Linked DNA regions of Macaca mulatta. Each later gene encodes a partner of the first gene's protein in a complex. Links are inferred from orthologs where the notes say so. Each region holds a gene or a part of one and is shown on either strand. Other genes may lie near its edges.

The links. The genes of interacting proteins can lie anywhere in the genome.
Region 2: CEP290 (region 1) and AHI1 share a complex: the UniProt entries of both Homo sapiens proteins name them as parts of the tectonic-like complex. The link is inferred for Macaca mulatta from reciprocal best matches to the Homo sapiens genes CEP290 and AHI1.
Region 3: CEP290 (region 1) and TMEM107 share a complex: the UniProt entries of both Homo sapiens proteins name them as parts of the tectonic-like complex. The link is inferred for Macaca mulatta from reciprocal best matches to the Homo sapiens genes CEP290 and TMEM107.
Region 4: CEP290 (region 1) and CC2D2A share a complex: the UniProt entries of both Homo sapiens proteins name them as parts of the tectonic-like complex. The link is inferred for Macaca mulatta from reciprocal best matches to the Homo sapiens genes CEP290 and CC2D2A.
Region 5: CEP290 (region 1) and MKS1 share a complex: the UniProt entries of both Homo sapiens proteins name them as parts of the tectonic-like complex. The link is inferred for Macaca mulatta from reciprocal best matches to the Homo sapiens genes CEP290 and MKS1.

The regions. Positions count from the first base shown.
Region 1 is NC_133416.1:95,386,593-95,390,602, forward strand, and holds the start of CEP290 (centrosomal protein of 290 kDa), read right to left. Parts: upstream 2,810-4,010; 5' UTR 2,635-2,809; intron 2,530-2,634; exon of another isoform or gene 2,340-2,529; intron 2,054-2,339; 5' UTR 2,027-2,053; coding exon 1,925-2,026; intron 1,759-1,924; coding exon 1,681-1,758; intron 286-1,680; coding exon 216-285; intron 1-215. UniProt on the Homo sapiens protein: Involved in early and late steps in cilia formation. Its association with CCP110 is required for inhibition of primary cilia formation by CCP110.
Region 2 is NC_133409.1:40,602,586-40,606,682, forward strand, and holds the start of AHI1 (jouberin), read right to left. Parts: upstream 2,804-4,097; 5' UTR 2,616-2,803; intron 2,283-2,615; exon of another isoform or gene 2,221-2,282; intron 1-2,220. UniProt on the Homo sapiens protein: Involved in vesicle trafficking and required for ciliogenesis, formation of primary non-motile cilium, and recruitment of RAB8A to the basal body of primary cilium.
Region 3 is NC_133421.1:9,692,384-9,696,655, forward strand, and holds TMEM107 (transmembrane protein 107), read right to left. Parts: upstream 2,804-4,272; 5' UTR 2,712-2,803; coding exon 2,625-2,711; intron 2,449-2,624; coding exon 2,381-2,448; intron 2,298-2,380; coding exon of another isoform or gene 2,280-2,297; coding exon 2,179-2,279; intron 1,342-2,178; exon of another isoform or gene 1,243-1,341; intron 1,076-1,242; coding exon 979-1,075; intron 734-978; coding exon 664-733; 3' UTR 409-663; downstream 1-408. UniProt on the Homo sapiens protein: Plays a role in cilia formation and embryonic patterning. Requires for normal Sonic hedgehog (Shh) signaling in the neural tube and acts in combination with GLI2 and GLI3 to pattern ventral and intermediate neuronal cell types.
Region 4 is NC_133410.1:14,515,483-14,519,492, reverse strand, and holds the start of CC2D2A (coiled-coil and C2 domain-containing protein 2A), read right to left. Parts: upstream 2,804-4,010; 5' UTR 2,633-2,803; intron 1-2,632. UniProt on the Homo sapiens protein: Component of the tectonic-like complex, a complex localized at the transition zone of primary cilia and acting as a barrier that prevents diffusion of transmembrane proteins between the cilia and plasma membranes.
Region 5 is NC_133421.1:51,768,672-51,772,796, reverse strand, and holds the start of MKS1 (tectonic-like complex member MKS1), read right to left. Parts: upstream 2,804-4,125; 5' UTR 2,781-2,803; coding exon 2,701-2,780; intron 2,278-2,700; coding exon 2,168-2,277; intron 331-2,167; coding exon 203-330; intron 1-202. UniProt on the Homo sapiens protein: Component of the tectonic-like complex, a complex localized at the transition zone of primary cilia and acting as a barrier that prevents diffusion of transmembrane proteins between the cilia and plasma membranes.

The DNA of each region.
Region 1 (4,010 bases):
TCTTTTAAAAGAGTCCATCATGATTATAAGGTAACAAAAAGTATTATACGGCAGATCCATAAAACAGGAGTCTAGAAATATGTATTATTAAATAAATGTTATATATTAAAAATAAATTGAATATATACAGTTTATAGAATTTAATTTTCTACAGCTTAATGAACAAATGGAACTCATTATTTAATAACATAATAAACTTTTTCCAAGGTGCTTACCAAATTTTGCTTGTTCTTCTCCAGCTTTTTCTACTTCCTCCAAAGCCAGCTCTACTTCTTGAGCTTTCATCTAAACATTTAAAAAAAGTTTATTTCAATATGCCTTTAAACTGGAATGTAAGCACTGAAAATAAAAATTTTGTTTTCTTATGCTCATTAGTGCCAGCAATGGCTGGCACATGGAGACTTTCAGTAAATATTTGTTGAATGAATAAATAATTTTTTCTCTCCTTTTTTTTCGCTTTTGAAATAGGGCCTCACTTTGTCACCCAGGCTGGAGTGCAGTGGCACAATCTCAGCTTACTGCAACCTCTGCCTCCTGGGCTCAAGCAATCTTCCCATCTCAGTCTCCTGAGTAGCTGGGACTACAGGTGCATGCCATTATGCTCAGCGTGCCATCATGCTCGGCATGCCATCATGCTTGGTGTGCCATCATGCTCAGCAAATTTTTTCGTAGAGGCAAGGTCTCACTATATTATCCAGGCTGGTCTCCAACTCCCAGCCTCAGGCAATCCTCCTGCCTTGGCCTCCCAAAGTGCTGGGATTATAGACGTGAGCCACCATGCCAGGCAATTTTCTTACTTAAGACGACAATTTCTAGATTTTTAATAGCATGAAACATTTTTGATTCTCCCTTTTACCTCAAGTCCTCAAGTCTTATATCCAGTAAAGCAACATATCTCTTTGTAATGTTTTTCCACTACTTTTTTTCTGTTCCAATTGCTATTATTCTAATGCATAATTTCAGGTTTAAACTCCTCTATAATGTGATGTTTGCAAAGCTCCGATTTCCTTCAGTTTGTCCTATATAATAGACTCAGTTTTGCCTTCCTAAGGCCTATTTTTGTACCTATCAACTGTGGTTCGAAAACGCCTTCTCAATTGCTGACAGCATAAAATACACCTTTAATGACCTCAAGAACCTATCTCAAAGTACCTACCCAAGATTTGTTTTCTCTACAGCCTGCTACAAACTTGCTGCACCGCATTTCCTCAAATGTAAAGAATAAACTTATTTCCTATCCTCAATATTTATTTATGGTAACCAACAGCTCTAGAATTCCCTTACTATCTTACCACTGCATTACCTTCCACTTACCTAAAACTACTCCTCAGTATTCATCCTCTGTGAAGTCTTCTGACACCTCTTAGATCACTTCCCCTCTTAACAAATCCCTATAGCAGTCATTGTCTGCATTTGTCATTTGGACCTCAGGATATATTTCCTTATGTTATTTTTCAACATACTCATTCTATTTCCCCTACATACCCTTTTAGAAACTTTAAGTAGAAACTAGCAATGTTTTACATACTAAAATACTTAATCTACATTTAAATATATTGCACTTTTGAGGGGTGATGTAGATATTACCAAGTATTTTCACAAAGATTACTTTATATAAGAACAGATTTTTATAGTTCCTCTAATAGCCAAACCTATCATTAAAACCTACTACATACAAACCTTCATTAGTGACTGAGTAATTCTGAAAAGGTGTATCACATTTTCTTGCTTTTCACTTTTTAGCTCATTTACTTCCACCTAAGTAAACAGAAAAGCAACTGTTTTATATTTTATAACCTTTAAGCAAAATATAAGAACTCTTCCAGATTGTGACAATTAATAGTTGTTTCTGAAAAAAAAATTCATATTTTATTAATAATCATAAGTTAATGTATATATCTATTATTATTGACCAAGTAAGCACCTTGGATAAGGAAATCAATAAATTATCTGCCAGTTCTTCTTGACGGGGCAGGTCATCTGGGTCAACTTTCATTATTTCTTTCCAGTTTATATTAGGTGGCATCTTGAATTCTTTCACTGTGCTCCACCTCTGTAACAAAACAGGTGGATATTAGCATTTTCAAGGTACACAGCATTATTGGTTTTCTAATAGCCTACATTTTTTGCAGATTATTTCATTATAACTTTCTTATGTTAGCAAAGAACTATGCCTTAGCCACAAAACAGACAAGTGGGCAAAATAGCCTTGATCAAAAATAGCAGTCGGCACAAACTGTCAGAGAGTGTACCGGCTAAATAAAATGTGACGGCTTCCTTGCTAACACTAATATAAGTTAGGACTAAGATTTCTGGGTCCCTTCCTCCACACCGCCTACCCACAACGCGCGCGAACACCCTAATCTTGGCAAGCGCGAGGGTCTGTGGAAGGCTGACAATGATCCTTGATTTGGAGAAGCAGAATTGGGGCTGGAAAAAAAAAAAAAAAAAGAAGCAGAAATTAACAATTGGAATGAGTGAAGTTGTGCGGCGGAAACCGGAACCGAAGTAAGGCAGGATTACGGACCCGAGGCTGGAAGGGACGGGGTAGCTGCGCTGCGGCACACGGGCCCTAAGGCTAAAGAACCTGAACGTGGAGTGACTCGCTGATCCTGCTTACAGGGATCCACCCACCTACACCAAGCCTGGCAACCAGCGGAGGTCCCTCACTACCACAACCACCAAGCTGGACAGATCCCTATCGCGGTTCCACGCGGACTCTGGGTCCAGCCAAATGGTCCCCAAGGAAGCCAAAGCGGCAGCGGCTGCTAAGCGACACCATCCCTAACTCCGCCGGGGCCAGAAGAAGATCCCGGATGCAAAGAGAGCCTACAATTCACGACCGTGGGTGATGCTTTACGTTTAGATTCTCCGCCGGAGTCCCAGGACTCGGTGTTCAGGATGATGAGAAGGCGTGGAACGAGGACTCCAAATCCCAGAGTGCAGATGTGCCTGAGGTTTGTGCATGCTGGGAACTGAAGTCCCTGAGAAGAGGAGATAAGGCGCTCCCGGCGTGCAACGCGGAAGGCTGCGACGGTACCGGGGCGGCGGGGAAGGACCGAGAGGCGGGAGGCGCAGTGGCTGAGGCGCCTACGAGCTGGTGGCCTGAACGAGGTAGACCATGACTGTGGCTTTAGTGGCGTCACTCGCTGGGCCGCTCTTCATGAGGTTTTCCTAAGCCATCCCCTGGCGGAACCGCTTCCAGGTGAGGTCGAGCTGTGGGTCAGCGTATCAGGAGGAGTTGAGGGCAGCAGTCTGGGTTAGAGAAGCTTCTGCTATTGGGGCCGTAGGGCCTGGCCCCATTCTGAAAAAGTGGAAACACCCTGCCTTCTCTTCAGGCGTTTGCAGGCGGCGTCCAAGGTAGTGCCTTCTGTAAGAAGGAAAAAACAAAAAGTTTTAGCCTTGTTTAGTATCAGAATCTTTCTTGGTAGAGTGAGAGCCGCGCAGCCGTGATCCTCGTTTGGGGGCGAGCGAAGAATTGACAAGAGGTCTCGGCATCCTCTGACCCCGCCAGCCTTACCTGTAGCACCATTCCCTTCGCAGATGGTGGGACTTGATGGTTGTGGAGCTAGTATAAAGGGAAGGCTCTAGAGAGGAGAGGTTAGTGCTTGTCCGGGCCACTGCCGGGGGTGGAGAGAGAAGGTACCCGAGGACTCACCTGTACTATTGTCACTGCTTGGTTACCTAGGGTGTCCTTCCATGAAAGCGCCTTCTCTGGTGTTTACCACGCTTACTTGTGCAAGTTTTGCTCATCTGCTCATAGCCATACTGGAGTGCGATACACCTCTAACTAACTTTCCTAAGAAGCTGTAGATTTAAATCTAAATGACATTTCCAACTATCTGTACCAGTGCTTCTCATCTTTCTTTTTTTTTTTTTTTAACGCTGCTTTAAAAAAAATTTTACTATACTTGATGGTAAATTTTCCTTTCGAAAATAAGTAATGAATTTCTTTTTAAACTCCCAATTTGGGTAAAATAAATAGCTCAGTACAAAATAAAAATATACTG
Region 2 (4,097 bases), on another chromosome or scaffold:
TTATGGAGGGGCAGAAACCTAGCAGGCTGGGGCTGAGGGGTGAATGGAAGGTGACCCCTGTAGAAGGGACATGTAGACAATTCTTTACAGAATTCTTCCAACTGTCTTTCCACCACCCCTAAAGGCAGTGACATGAGACAGTAACTCTGGGACAAAAACACTGTGGAAGGATTATGCTGTTTGTTTTAAGATTGTTTCCATGCCACTATCACCTTACCCTTTTAAAAAATAAATCATCATCTACACAGCAATCAGTGTAATTTTCTAAAATTCAAATGTGACGGTGTCATTTCTTTGCTTAAAATTCTTCACTAGCTCCCAATCACACACTGAAAAAAATATCAAGTCCTTACCACTGAGGTCCAAGGCCATTTATGAAATGTCCCCTTCACACCATACACTGTGTTCCAGCCATGTGAAACTACCTCCAGGCCTTCACATGTGCCACGTCCTCTCTTGCTTTTGTATCATTACACATATATCCCCTCTCCTGAAAAATGTCCTTCCTCCTTTGTCACTCTAACAAACTCCTCATTATCCTTTGAAGGCAAGTATCTTCTCTAGAGAGCATTCGCACCTTGAAGGGCGGTGAAGCACTTCTCTTCTGTGCTCCCAGGGTGCCTGAATCTTTGTAACTCCCTCCACCTCAGCCCTGAATTTTCATCCTGGTTAAATGTTCTGTCTCCCACCAAACTGCTAGCTTTGGAGGCCACGCCAATGCTCTCTATAGTTATGTATCTGCCACTATGAAAGAAAAGAGGAGAGAGAAGAGAAAACACGAGAAGCAAAGCAAAGCGAAGCAGTAGCAACGGTCCTAGAGTAAAAAAGACTCAGGTTTGACCTCCAGTGTCACCACTTACTGATGTGTGGCATTGGGTAAGCTACTTAATTTCTAATCCTTGGTTTTTCCTTGTCTGGGAATTTAAAATGGCACCTGTTTTAGTACTGCAAGGAGAAAATACCAAAAAGCAAAGTAATGAGTACACTGCAATAAAATTACTTTATGTCCAGTATTATTGTATTAAAAATAAGTAATTATTAATAAAATACAGAAATCATAGAATTATTTACTGTTAATAGCTTAATACACAACTGAATAAATACTAATATTATTTAATAACACAGCAAATACATTATAGAAATCATCTCTAATTTTTTTTTTTTTTGGAGACAAAGTCTTGCTCTGTTGCCCAGGTTGGAGTGCAGTGGCACAATCTCAGCTCACTGCTGCCTCCGCCTCCTGGGTTCAAGCAATTCCCCTGCCTCAACCTCCCTAGCAGCTGGGACTACAGTTGTGCGCCACCACGCCCGGCTAATTGTTGTATTTTTAGTAGAGATGGGTTTTCACCAACATTAGCCAGGCCGATACTGAACTCCTGACCTCAAGTGATCCACCCACTCTTGATCCTCCCAAAGTGCTAGGATTACAGGCCTGATCCACTGCGCCCAGCCATCTCTAAATCTTAATGTGTACTACAGCAAACATATGATAGAATTAATGACTAATATTTAATTAGTAACATTATCTGCGAAAATTCAGGTCGGACTTTAAAAGAAACCTCCGAATCTTATATATTCCATTATTTTACAACTTCTCCCTCACAAACCCTTTCACAGGAGCTTCTAAGAGATACTATGTAGGAAAATTAAATGGATTACACCTCATTTCATTTTATTTTACAGACCACCTGATTATCAGCCAATATGTGACTCAATATCAATGGGAGAAAAAATTGAGAGGCTTGATAATTCCCTCTTTAACCAAATGTTATCGCAAGGGAAAAAAAGACAAACAAAAATCCTGTACACAACATTCAATGAATAGATCAACAAGATTCTTCATAAGTACACAAGATTCTAACTTCATAAATATTATTCTTCATAAACAAGATTCTAAGTATGGTTTAAAAACACTTTTGGTATTTTAATTTTTTCAAGCATTCTTTAAAAAATTTCCCAGAGTACTCATAAGAAGCAATCTTCCTCCTAAACCAAGCAATAACAGTAACTGCTAATGCAACAGGTGAAAAAACTGTTGGCATCTCTTTCTCAAAAGGGAAAAACTTTATTTTCACATTAGATGTTTTCACAGGAATGCCAAACGCAGCACAACCTTTGATAAGGATGCTTAAATGGTCTACATTTTTATTCTATTTTTATGCATCTCGAAACAACCCTATTAATATAATCTGGCTCTTATAAGTTTAACAAATTGATCACCTTTTCTCAGACGTAATTAAGTAGGCTTTGACAGGTTGAAGATTCAGCCCCAGGATGACACTCTAAAAGGAAATAAACACACTCAGTACGCATCTGATTTAAAAGCATTTAAACAAGAATCGGGAGTAGGAAAGGCAAAGATTGAATTCCCTATCAGAACACCATGCTCAACTCTCCGGAGACACCGAGACCAGTGAAAGAAGCGGAAAAGTACGTTGAGGACTCCGGGAAATCGCATTCCTCCGGGACACCCGGCCCACGCTCCCCGGTCAATCCGCGATCAGCCCCCGCGCTCTCGGACTCCAGCAGCCCCGACACGCCGCCCCAGAGAGGGCCGGGCAGGCCGAGCACCCCGGCCCGCGCTCCCGCCACCAGCGAACCCACGAGGTACTTACGGAGAGGAGGAGTAGGCAGAACCGTCCGTCCCGCCCAAGCCGACACCCGGAACAGTGCAAATCGACTCCCCCGCGCCCAGCGGCGCGGGCGCTAAGTGAGGCGGCCACGAAGCCACCTTACCCGCCAGGGACCCGGGTTCGGAGAGCAAGCCACTGCTCTGTGCCGCAGTGCGGACGACTCGCGGCCTGCTGACGTCAGCGCCTGCCTACACCGCCGTTCCCATGGCGACCGACGCGTCTCGCGCGCTAGGCCCGGACCGCGGCCCCGCCCCCGCCCCCGCGCCGCCACCGCCTTCGCCTCCGCCCGGGAGAAGGGGCCGCGCGGCGCCTGCACCGGGGCCCTCAGGCTGTTGGTGGGCGCGCGCTTCGGGGACCTTACGGGCCTCCAGCCTCCGAGGCCGTGCGAGCGGGAAGGGAGTCGGAAATGCGCGGGTGCTCCCACAGAGCTTGAGTCTTCCCCGCCTTCACCTCCAAAAATACTCTTTCCGCCTTAGAATTGTAGCAAGCGCAGGGAAAAACTGACGGGGCAAAGGAAAACTGGGGAGGCTGTTATGGAAGTCGCCCAAAATAAGAAAATCAATGAATGAGGCAAATAAACAGATTTGTCACTCCCCACGCGGTCGCGCCCACAAAAGAAAACATGATTTTAAAGCGTGGAAAATGAAGTTGTACTACAGACAAAATCTTAAGAAAAAATTATGCACGATTCCTTTAGAGCTATCTCCCTGTGTGTGGAAAACAAAAGTTAAAACGCCATACTTTTCTGTACCTAACGCTCCCTCCCACTGTTCTGATTTCTGCCGCAGGCGCCATCTTCAGCTCTGAGTCACCAGGGCTGGAAAAATACTAGTTGCGCTACTCGTGGACTCATGAATACACGCCATTTCCTGTACCTACAGCCACGCGCTGTAACCTGTTGCTTCGTTTGTACAGAGAGAGAGTTTATGGAGGCCAGCTTTTCCATTCTCACTGGCATTGCCACACCTTACAAACTATATCTCTATGCCATGTGCTTCCCTAAATCCTTTGAGGAAGCAACGAGAAAGATTACTAATCCGCTGTGTACAAACTGAGCTGTTCAACTTTGCATTCTAAACCTACTCTCCTAGATTTCTATCTTGCTGTAAGCCACCACTATCTTGCTGTAATCTTGCACTATCAAGTGTCAAACACTTGCTCCCAGTGTTTTAGTAAGAACTGTAGAGTATTCTAAATGCATCTTATACCAAAGCATATTCATTCTCTCTTTTTAAATTCCTCAGGTGGGCGCTTTACCAGTCCTGTGACTCCAGTTTTGACTCTTAAAATTCCCCACACTGCTATCAGAATGTCCTGACTAAAAATGTAAATCGGATAATGGCTCTCTCTTGCTGAAAATTCTTGAAAGGCAACGTGTAAGAGAAAATGATTGCTTTGCCTAGGATACAATATGCTCCATCTCCCTGACTAATTTCATCTCTCATTAGCTTATTGTTCCAATTT
Region 3 (4,272 bases), on another chromosome or scaffold:
ATCTGCCCTCCAAAAGAGGAACAGGTAAGGATTATCCCACCTGACGATATTTCTAAATAGCCGACATTCCGCACTCAGTCAAAAAGATTCCGTTTACAGCTAGGGTGAGTTCACGACGCGTTGGTATAAGTAACCCTACTACTTAGCATCCTTCCAGTTGTATTGCCATATTTGCTTGCACATTTTTAAAAGAATTTTTTCGTTCGGCTGCCGAAAAGGAATAAATTTCTTTTTCCCAGAATGCTCCGATCATTTACGTGCTGGACGTTCTAACTGTAAGCACTTTCTATTTACATATCTCCGCCCACTCCCTTCCGCCAGACAACTACCGTAATAACCAAAATAGAAGCGATACCAAGTATCTTACGGTCTGCAGAACTAGAAAATAACGTTGCTTCTTTTTTTTTCTTCAGTAGTTTCGCCATTTCAATTGTGCCCTGAAAACTGTATATGTCTTAATCTTACTACAAAACATATTTTATTACAAACCACTAAATACAATGCGGATAATCCCAGACTCAAGACGTAATTATTCCAACACATATCCTCCAGCAGAAGCAGTTTCCGAGGGGAGGACCGAAGCCTATGCCTTCCTTCTTCCAGGAATACGAAGCGGCCCTTGCCCCTGTAGCCTTCGTCCTTAGGTTCCCGTCATGAAGGTGCTCAGAAAGGCTTCTTTTTCAGCCCAAAGACGGTGACGAATAAAGTCATTTCAGTGACAGCTGGAAGGGCACTACCGAGGCAAGTGGTAGATTCAGAAACCCGTTCAATATAAATACCCAAATCTCCAAACCAGAGACCCCACCCCTGAAAGTGTAGGACAGGTGGCATGGGGTAGGGAATGAAAATTCAAAAGACTACAGGATGTTAAGTGGATCTGGTATCTCCCACATAGAGGAAAGGGCTGGGTAGGGGAAAAACCCTCAGGTTTAGGGTCAGCCTTCCTCCCTCATTCCCGAATATTGGATGCTACCACACCTGCAGAAGACAAAAATGTACCAATACGTAGTGCACTCCCAACGCTCGAATATGAAGAAGGACAGGGCCACGGATGCACTACAGTGAGCCCCAATGGCTTGAGAAGGCACCACAGTTAAGGAAAGTCTTTGGATCGACAGATAGTGAGGGGTCAGAAAAGGCCAAAGGCCAGTGGTGGGGTTGGCATCTGCATTCAGGTTCATCGTTTGCTCCCTCACCATATTGCAAGGGCTAGAGTCAGCATCCCCGACTTCTGAATTTTAGGACAGTCATGTGAGGAGAGACCAGAAGTGACTGCGCAGATGGGATCTCAGGCTACCCTACTCCATATCTAGGGGCCAGCCTGGATCCTTCAGATGAGAGGTAAGAGTAGGCTCTCCTGCTATGCCACACAGGAGTGCTGACAGCGACTTGATATGCGCTGGAATCAGCCTCCAGTGTCCTGGTCCTCCTGGTCCACAATTCTCTGACCCATGTGCCTGGCTTCCGTTGCCTCTTCTGAGTTCCCAATGTGCTTTATATCTTTCGTTTTTTGCCAGAGTCTTGCTCTGTCGCCCAGGCTGGAGTGCAGTGGCACGATCTCGGCTCACTGCAACCTCTGCCTCCTGGGTTCAAGCAATTCTCCTTCCTCAGCCTCCTGAGTAGCTGGGATTACAGGAGTGCACCGCCACGCCCGACTAATTTCTGTATTTTTAGTACAGACAGGGTTTCACTATGTTGGTCAGGCTGGTCTTGAACTCCTGACCTCAGGTGATCCACCTGCCTCGGTCTCCCAAAGTGCTGGCATTACAGGCGTGAGCCATCGCACCCTGCCTGTGCTATCTTTACACACTCCCATAGCACACTGCTTATCACACTGAATTACAGATGTGTATCTACCTCCTCATGGTTAAAAAAAAAAAAAGTGGAGTTTTTATTATTACTATTTATTTTGTAGACACGGGGTCTAACTATGTTGCCTCCTGCGCGGGCCTCCCACAGTGCTGGGATTACAGACGTGAGCCAACGTGCCTGGCCAAAAACTGTATTTTACTCTCATTTCGGAATTTTAAGTGCCTAGTAAACAGCAGGATTTAGCACATGGTTGAAGATCTTTGAACTGGAGAGACTGGCTACAGCAGACACTATTGTGTCAGGTGGCTGAAGGGAGTCCTGATAGAAATGGGTCGTGTGGGAAAGGTGGGCAGGCAGAAAGGATACAGATGAGGCTCTGGGTGCTGTTGAACATGGAGACTCCTGAGAGGAAACCGGCCAGCTCCACTGCAAAGAGGCCCAGGGTGACAGAAAGCGCGGCCACCAGCCTGCAGAGAGGAAGTGGACTGGCCCAGGCCTTTGGACTTCTTCTAAGACCCCTCCACTCCCACCACCTCTTCGTTCTGGCCACCCCGTCCCAAGAGCTCACTGAATGTCCTGCTTGTCATACTCCTCGGGGGTGAACCTGAGAGGCAGGCAGGCCTGAATGTTGCTGTCCTGGGAGCAGGGCAGAGAGGAAGAGAAGTGAAAAAGGGGCAGGCTGCTGGGCAGGCCTAGGGACGGCGGAACACGAGAAAACCCAAGTGGGTAAGACACTGGGAGAGGGGCAGGGTGGGGCGGGGACGACTCCGAGATGGGAATGGGGGCGGACGGAGGGCAGCCGTGGGTCTTACCCGGGACCAGAATAAAGTGATGACGACCACCAGATGCGCCAGGAGCGTCAGGAAGCGAGAGGGCACAAGCCCTGAGACCCGGCCCATGGCCCTTGGGAACAAGAGCGGCGGTCTCTGAGGCTGGAAGTTCAGAGACTGCGACTCCCGCAAGTCCACCAGCAAGCGGACAAATCTAGACGAACTCCTCCTTTCCGCCAGCTCAGGCACCGCCCAGTTGCCTTGGTAACCGCGTACGCGGGCGTGCTGCCGCGTTCTCGGAAAACCTCGCGAGAGCAGTACATTCTCCATCTGCTGTGGGTCTTTCAGGGCTAACTCAGGTCAGGGGTACCCGAAGGAGCTTCTAACCCAATGGCTGGGTACCCGTGCGCAGCCAGGCCCTTTGTTTCTCAGAGGGTGAGGGGTGGCACAGCCCCGCAGCGCCCGATCTGCCCACGCAGGGCCGACGAACGGAAACCCACCCTGGCCTAGCCTGGGGACACCTCTGCTTCCGCGGTTGCCCACGCCGGGAGCGGCCCCCAGCCCCAGCTACGCTGCCCAGTTGTGGATCACTTGAGATCACTCCCACCGCCACGCCGGGCTGAGGTCCCCGCCATGCCGAAGACTCACACCCGCTCCCCTTCCTCCTCTCCTCATGCCTTTAACTTCCCACCAAGCTGGGCCTGAGAAACAAGGGACCCGAACGTGGAGAGGCCGGTGTTCCTGGACTGCTCGGCAGTTACAGATTGTCACAGAGCCCCTGGTTGTCTGAGGACCCTAGGCCTGAACCTTCCTTGAGGAAGACTGATTTCTCTCAGACTACTTTGCTCAGTTTGGTGAAGGATTTGCAGAGTGCAAAAAGTGGTCAGCGTCCTTAAACTAGCGTGGGAATAAGAGCAAAGCAAGGTGGCTGGAAAGGTGGGAGTGGACGAAGGGAATGGTACAGTCCCTGCGTCTCTGGGAGGCTTGGAGCCTACGGGAAGGGAAACTCAACTTAGATTTCTTTATCTCTTGGAGGTGCTGGACCTCCGACATTGCCCAGCTACAGTCCAGGAAGCTCTTATCACCGGCGACGTCATGACCTTTGGGCCTCAGCGCAGGTCCCTGCAGATCTGAAAGTTCTTCTCTAATTGCTCAGTCAAGTCCCATCCTCAAGGAAACTCCCGGCCCATTTCCCAGGAGAACAATATCTTCCTACTTCCCACTCGACGTCTCAGTGCCTTTAGCCAGACTAAAGTACAAGCCCAAGAGGCATTTCTCATTCCTTCAACAAATATTTTTATATATTTATTTATTACCTAGTAATAGTATTCTAGTCAGGGAGATCAACAACAGACATGCAAACAAATAAATCCGTAAGATAATAGGTGCTACAAACAGGGATACGCGGGCCAGGCACAGTGGCTCACGCCTGTAATCCCAGCGCTTTGGGAGGCCCAGGAGGGCGGATCATCTGAGGTCAGGAGTTCGAGACAAGCCTGACCAACATGCTGAAACCCCATCTCCACTAAAAATACAAAATTAGCCGGATGTGGTGGCGCGTGCCTGTAATCCCAGCTACTCGATTACTACTACTCGATTAGCTACTAAGGCAGTGGAATCGCTTGAACCCGGGAGGTGGAGGTTGCAGTGAGCCGTGCCATTGCACTCCAGCCTCTGCAACAAGAGCACA
Region 4 (4,010 bases), on another chromosome or scaffold:
TAAGGATGAAATGTAAAAGTACACAAGAGTTCTCTAATAAACAACTCCGGTCATTGCAAACTGAAAGAAAACCAAAACAAACAAACAAAAAATCTGTGAAATATTTTAGTAACTAAAAAAAGTTCTCTATAAGTTAAAAAATGCTTTATATGAAATAAAAAATAGAAGTAGAAAATGAAAAATGTAATGGGATTTTCTTTTCTCCTCATTCTTTCCTGATCATTTCCTTTAAATGAGTTTCTAAGGAAATCAAATGACAACGAAATTTACTTTTTATATGAACACTGTTGCTAAGAAAACATAAATCAGTACTGCATGGTTTTAATATGCAGCTTGCCATCATCTTATGCATTGGTACTTGTTAATATATTCCTACTGACAACATCAAAATAACTATGATTTACTGCACACTTATTTTGTGCTAACTCTAGACATATGTTCTCTTTAGTCCTCACAATAACATGTCTGGCTTAGCAGTATGTGCCCCAATTTGTGTATGAATAAACTGAGGCTCTGACAGTTTGCATGATTTGCCCAAGGTTATAATTATTAAATGTCACATCCAGAACTTGACCCCAAGACTCTGATTCCCAAGTCCTCCCTCACTCCACTCTACCCCTCTGTCTCACCATTTATTCTTACTTTTGTAATGGCATCAATAATTATTCTATAGAATAATTATTGAACTGGAAATATTTACAGTTGAAAGCTGTGAAGCACTGGTGAGAAAAGGCTTAGGCTACATTAAGTCAATTATTTATTTTACTCAGTGCAGAAAACCAAACATTTTTTTCAAGGAAAGTACTGACACCTTCATCTGAATAAATGGTCTATTCTTAAGAGTCATCAGTGGATCAGAGCCATACCTGTAGGTTGAGATACAATGCATCTCAACTCCATATTGGTTGCTTAAAAAATCATGCAATATATATGCCCTACTCCAGGATGGCAAAAACATGGGTTTATAGGAAGAGTGGCCCACGTATTTCTTTGCCAAGGAATATGTGGACCTGAGTTCCAACTTCAGCTTTTTTTATTAGCTGTGTGATCTTGGAACAATGTCCTCCCTTCTCTGAGACACATTTTTTTTTTTTTTTTTGTCTGCAACATTGCAATCATACTTCCTACCTTGAAGGATGATTAATTTATAAGGGCTAAATGATGAAATGTGTGTAGCAAAATGCCTAGCACAGACTGGGCTCTCAATATTGGTAGGTTTTGTTAATAAGAAAAAGTGATTGTGGGGAGGGAAAGTGGAAAAAAGGAATGAGGAGGGAAAAGAGCTTGGGGGATAGAAGAGGAGTCATGAAAAAGACCTTAGGTGATTTTCAAGCCCACCCACCTTTGGCTCCAATCTTCAACCCCCAGCTACCATAACTCATGTTCCATCTCTCGTTGCCTTCAGCCAGGCCCAGGGCAGTTGCCTTGCTGTTTCCATGTATGGTGCTTCTGCAACCTCCTGCACTTCTACCCAGGAGTATTTTCTTCCTCACACCGTGAGAATATTTTTCTGTTCCATCCTGGAGCTTGGACACCTGGGGAGGTGCCACATACATTCTTTTGGAATACATTGTCTTATTCTATAAGTTATTCCAGCTGCAGTTTCCCTTAGCATAAGGTTAGTGACAAATAGCTTTATAGAATCATTGAATCAGCTCAATATAATATACATTGGCTTTGAAGAGTACATATGGGGACCATATTTGAGCTGTGTTATATGATATATGGCCAGTGCATTTACACAATGTGGTAAGTGCTGGAAGCCCCTCCCTGGATGTCATCCCGCTGTGCTTTCAGTGTTTTATAAATCTCTTATGGCACTTAGCTCATTGTACTCTTATCATGTGTTTATAGGTCTATTTTCCCAGCAAACTCTGAGCTTCTGACCTGGTCTAATTTATGTTTGCACCCTCTAAACTTAAGTTCATTGCCTGGTGCATTGTTGATGCTCCATAAATGTTTGAATGAATGACTCTATAAGTGGGCTCTAGGAGATATATATATTTGTGTATATATAAATATATACGGAGAGAGAGAGAGAGAGAGAGAGAGAGATTTCATGCTGGCACTGAATTTACTTGCAGAAAAGGTTATATGAAAATGCAATAGCAAACATATATCTTATTCGACTTTATTAGCTTTTCATATCACCTCTTTGCAATGAGGGGAAACAAACAGTCAGCTTAAGTTGTAGCCAGTAGATTTTCTTGAAGTCTTTGGACAGCACAGCAACTCTCAGCACTGTGGTTAGTAGCCCTTTCTCTGTCTAATACCAAGAAAAGTGTATTTCGCAGTAACTAGTGCTTCTCACCTTAAGCCAGTTTGAACTAAAAGGCCCGTAAGTGCAACATGCAGCTAATGGTTCACAGAGCTTTTCACTCAGGGCTTGTGATGAACTGGACTTACATTTCCTGCAAACCAGATACCAGATAGCAGCTCAAATCAAAGCTGCCAAGTAATGGTCTATGTTCCCATTTCAGAAAGTAAAAACATAAATAATGATGAGAGCCCCTAAATTTACAATTCATTAAATCCAGTCTCATGGTATCCGGGAGAGACTGAATTTCAAGCCGGGTAACTGAAAACAGGAAATCATTGTTGCAGCCCAAAGTCCGGTTAGGGACTGATTTACCTTAAGAAACTTTACAAAAGGCACTTTGCAGATTCTGCTTTCTAGGATGGAAGTGGAGAGAGATGGTGCTGTAGAATCTTTTAAAAGGGTCCGGAGGGAAAGGCTGAGTGTTGGAGATGCCCCTGGGCTCCTCCCTGGGAAGCTGCAGCCATGTCTTGGAGCAAAAACACCAGCTTAGCAACCCGTTCCTAAGGAAGGTCACTCGGTGGCTTTTTTTTTTCTTTTAAAGTGACAGGTTACTTCCAGTAGTGGAGTACAAGCATGCTGGGTAAGCAGAGACGCACAGCCTGCTGGAGAAGGACTGAGAGAAATCAACATGGGCAGCACTGGAAATTAGATTAAGCCTTAAGAGCCGCCCCTCCCTCATGTCATCTGGTTGTCTTGCATTTCCAATGAAGAACAGGCTCAGAGGTGGGGCGATTTAGAATCTTAAAAGATCATCATTACATGGTGAAGCTGTCTAACGTGGCAGCAGCAAAAGCTCTGTGGAGGTCCTGCAGGGTACCAGCAAATGTTGCGCTCAAGTGTTTTCCAGTTAAAAGTGGAAGGTTGAATGCACAAGTTTAATTTTTGCCTATTCTCTGAATCCCACTGCAATTCCTAAAAACGGATATAAATGTTATGGCTCAAAACAGTTGAAAAGAAAAAAAAAGAGAGAGAGAGGAAAGAGGCAAAGTAGCTGGAAGAGTAATAGAATGAATGGAGCCAAGGAAACCACACTCCAAATAGACTAGTGTGTATGTGCACATGTGTTTGTGTGTATCTGTATCTGTGTGTATTTTGTGTGTACGTTTGTGTGTATGTGTATTGATTGTATTCTTGATGCTCTGGCATTTGGAGCCTTGATCCTGGAGAAACTGATTCTCCTAGGTTAGCTAATTTCTAGAGATAGCAAATGATTCCCCTGAAATATGCAAAGTCTCATATACAAGCCAACCAATCCAGAGCCCACACAACCAACCATCTCCATTTTCAAACTCTCACACACTAAGCCAATATTCCTCCTGTCCCAAGTCACCCCAGGTCCAGATACCAGACCACTATAGCCCAGAGAACACCACGATTATTCAAGCTATCTAGTCCTAAATTTACTCAGCACCCTACCCTGTGTCACCTATTCCTTCCTGGGAAAACCCTAGTAAAGGCTCTGCTCTGTACTCTGCTGTCTCCCTTCTGCCTTCTGACCAACACTGGTTCTTCCCTATGTGGTCCTGTGTGGCATTCCATGTTCTATGATTTGTATGTGTCTCCCCAAAAGCATGTATTGGAAACTTAATCCCTAATACAATGTTGTGGGGAGGCGGGACCTAATGAGAGGCAATTAGGCTGTAGGACTCTGCCCTCATGAATGTATTAATGCCATTATTGCAAGAGTGGA
Region 5 (4,125 bases), on another chromosome or scaffold:
TATAGCCCAGAGATGAAAAGTGCCTCACCCAGAATCATAAAACTGAGTAGTGGCAATCCCTGTTACACTGCCCTTTAAACACAACAGGGCGAAGTATAAACCGTTACAACCTGTCTGGAAATCACTTTGGCAATATGTATCACCAGTCATGTGGAGGCAGACCAGGTGGAACAGACAGAGCAGACAAAAGACACTGGCTCACCTGGCTAAAGAGCTTCTCCTGCCACCCAATCACAATCTCCTCCTCTTCATCTTCCTCTGGGCGGTGTCCACCTCCAAAGACAACAGAGTGAGTCAAATGCTTGAGCCGAACCAGCACCACTTCTTGCTCTGTGGTTGATTATAACCAGAGTTCCTATTCTTATATTTGCCACAAAAACCAGCTGGAATTCAGCAATTTATTAAGCACTCAACCTAGAGAAATGCTAGAGAGGCTGTATATAAGAGTTAGTATGAGTGGAAGCCAAGATTAGAACCCAAGAAGTCTTAATCACTACTCTAATTTGAGTAAAAGAAAATACCCTCCAGGAATTTTTTTGGGGGTGGGGGGGATGGAGTCTCACTCTGTCACCCAGGCTGGAGTGCAGTGGCACTGTTTCAGCTCACTGCAACCTCCATCTCCTGGGTTTAACGATTCTCCTGCCTCAGCTTCCCAAGTAGCTGGGATTACAGGCACACGCCACCAACCTGGCAAATTTTTGTATTTTCAGTAGTGATGGGGTTTTGCCATGTTAGCCAGGCTGATCTTGAACTCCTGACTTCAGGTGATCCACCTGCCCTGGCCGCCCAGAGTGCTGGGATTACAGGTGTGGGCCACTGCGCCCAGCCTCCTCCAGGAAATATCTAATCTAACTGGATATAAGAAATTGAAATTTAGGGGCTGGGCGCAGTGGCTCAAGCCTGTAATCCCAGCACTTTGGGAGGCTGAGATGGGCAGATCACGAGGTCAGGAGATCAAGACCAGCCTGGCTAACACGGTGAAACCCCGTCTCTACTAAAAAATACAAAAAACTAGCTGGGCGAGGTGGCAGGCGCCTGTAGTCCCAGCTACTTGGGAGGCTGAGGCAGGAGAATGGCATGAACCCAGGAGGCGGAGCTTGCAGTGAGCTGAGATCCGGCCACTGTACTCCAGCCTGGGCGACAGAGCAAGACTCCGTCTCAAAAAGAAAAAAAAAAAAAGAAACTGAAATTTAGATATAAGCTGAATAGCCAGCCCTTCCGCAGTCCAAACTGTCTGCGTTTGCTAGAAAATAACCCTGGCATTTTTATCTTTACTATTTCTAAAGCCATATATGTAGTATCACAAACACTGAAATTTAGGAGGCCAAGTGTCAGGAGAGGACAGTGAAGGCAAATAAATGATTTTTTAACAGAACCAAATCTGGCTGGACGCAGTGACGCGCGCCTGTAATCTCAACATTTTGGGAGGCTAAGGTGGAAGGATCACTTGGGCCCAGGAGTTTGAGACCAGCCTAGACAACAGAGCAAGACCTTTTCTCTACTAAAACTTTTAAAAAATCAGCCGAGTGTAATGGTGTGAACCTGTAGTCCCAGCTACTTGGGAGGCTGAGGCAGGAGGATGGCTTGAGCCTGGGAGACCAAGGTTTACAGTGAGCTATGATCATACCACTGCACTCCAGCCTGAGTAACAGAATGAGATTCTGTCTCAAAACAAAACACAAACAAAAACAAAGAAAACAAATCTAATCTAATACACTCTTGGCTGGCTGAGTATGCCTTTTTCAGAGACACATGTTTCACAACCCGCAAGCCCACACTCTTGCCCAGGAACAGCTCTGAACAGAAAGAGAAACAATAAAGGCAGACAGACTAGTGACCTGACACAACCACTCTGTCCTCTCCTCCTCATTCTTTCGGTTTCCCAGATAAGGAAAACCACAAGAATATAGTTGATCTTCATATGCACATTATATGTATATTTTTCAAGCAGTCCCCAGTTTAAAAATTGTTTTTTAAAGTGTTTATATGTGTATTTAGAGTTTGGGACACGTTTTCTCTTTTAAAAATGCCACAAATAGAATGTAGATTGCCAGGCAAATCTATAACGTATCAGAAGTATAGTACTTGTTATCTCACTACATTTGGCCACAATTCTGATTAGTATCAGAATTAGTAGTAGATGGCACATCATCACCATAACACCCACTGGCAGTTGGCTGAGGCCTAAAAGTGGCCAAGTCTATGAGGTCCTTCCAGAGCTCGGCAGCAGGCTGATAATGAAGAAAGTTGCTTGATGTGATTCTTTGCAGGTGAACCCTGTCAAGAAAAGCCCAAAATATTTGTTACCAGACACGCAACCAGGAGATGAACACAAAGCAAGGATTGGGGAAACAAAACGGAGGAGGTGGGGTTGCCAAGGTGTGCTGGGTGCAGACAACGGAGAGGAGGTGGGTGGGTGCGCGGTCCTATGGGGAAGACTGAGGGTGAGAGGGTGTACTGGGGACACAGGGCTCTGAGAAACTGGGAGCAACAAGGACGTGAATGGACTTGGGTGGGTCTGTAAGGGGTTCTTGGAGACTGTGAGTGGATGGGGGTACGGATAGTGAAAGAAGTGGGGAGCCCGGAGAAGAAGTGGTCGGGATTGTAAGCAGAAGTGGGGGCCTCGGAACACCGAGTTCGGGTTGGAATGATCTAAGGACATAAAACCATGGGGCCTCGGGGCTGGGGCGGTGTGACTACCGGAGGCGCAAGTTGCGCACGGGGTCCCGGGAGCGATACACTGCCTCCCCGGTGTCAGTGCTCCAGACGGTCTCCGCCATGACAGCTGCGACGCGCCGCGACTGCGCCGGAAAGCGCGCCGCTCTGTTTTCCTGGCAACAGAGACTCTGGATCGGGAGGCGACGGAGGTGCTGCGCGCGCAACCCGCCGTTCTCGTCACGGCGCCACAGTCGCAGTAGGCCACCCAGTGCAAGTGCAGCCCAAGCCTAACGCCCAAGAGGGCTCCGGGGTCCTGCCAATCACCGCTTACCATGTATGCGAGAAAAGCTCACCCAAAGCGGGACCTCGTGCGCGGTGCAAATGAGGAAACTGGCACAGCCATCAGCCCACCTCATATAGCCAGATGCAGAAATGATGATGGAGACCAGGTGATCTGAGTCTTCGCCCTCTACCTTTTCCACCATGCCACAGTTCCTTCCACTGAACGCATGAAAACTTTGGCCTGAAAATCGGTGGATGTAACTGTAAGAAATGCACCCATTATTCCCAAAGGAGTCAGGGTAGGTGATGGCCCTTAGCCAAACAAGAAAATACATTCTTGGAGGACAAAAAAGTGTGTCAGAAGATTTATTAGTCTTTGTGTTGATATTCACTGAACAAAGAAAGAAAAAACAAGGAAGTCAACAGTAAGGAAGGAAAAGATGTTATTATTGAACTAGTTCTTACCTTGTGTGTATTAGTTTTGGATCATTAAACCACTTTAGATACTGCACGGGCTTCCTGAAAAGCCAAAAAAGTGACATTAAGAAGTCATGCTTCGTTGGACTAGCAAAGGAAGGACATGCTGTAACCTCACGTCTGGCGCCCTGGCGCCTTGGGAATGTCAACATTTATCAGGCTTTTTCACATCTGGTCCTCCTCCAACAAAGTAAGCAATTGTCCCCTGAACTCAGGAATCTCATGCCAGTTTGATGATTTGGCATTGGAAGCTCTGGGTGCCATAGCCACTAGTTGTGTAACACCAACTCACCATAAATAGCACCATTTATTTATGATCTAGTACAGCTTCAGCACTTTGTTTTCATTGTCCCAAATCCTTGTAGAAGCCTCTCAAGAAGGTATTTTTGTTCACTTTAAGAGTGAAGTTCGTGAAGGCCAGGGTTTAAAGGACTTGCTAAACTTGGAAGTGGTGAAAGTACTAGGATTCCAGCCCAAGTTCTTCTGTCTTTTGAAGCCTAACCACCTTCCACTTTGCCTCATGGCTTCTCACCTACTAATTTATTCTATAAATGCACACATTTCTAACCTGGAAAATAATAATTTTAACAGATTAAAAAAAAGGCATCTTTCTAGCTCCTAAGAAATGGTCTCTCTAATGTTTCCTTTTGTGAGTAGGCAATCTGTGCCACATGCACAACAGCTGATAAAGTGGAGCTTGATTCTAGT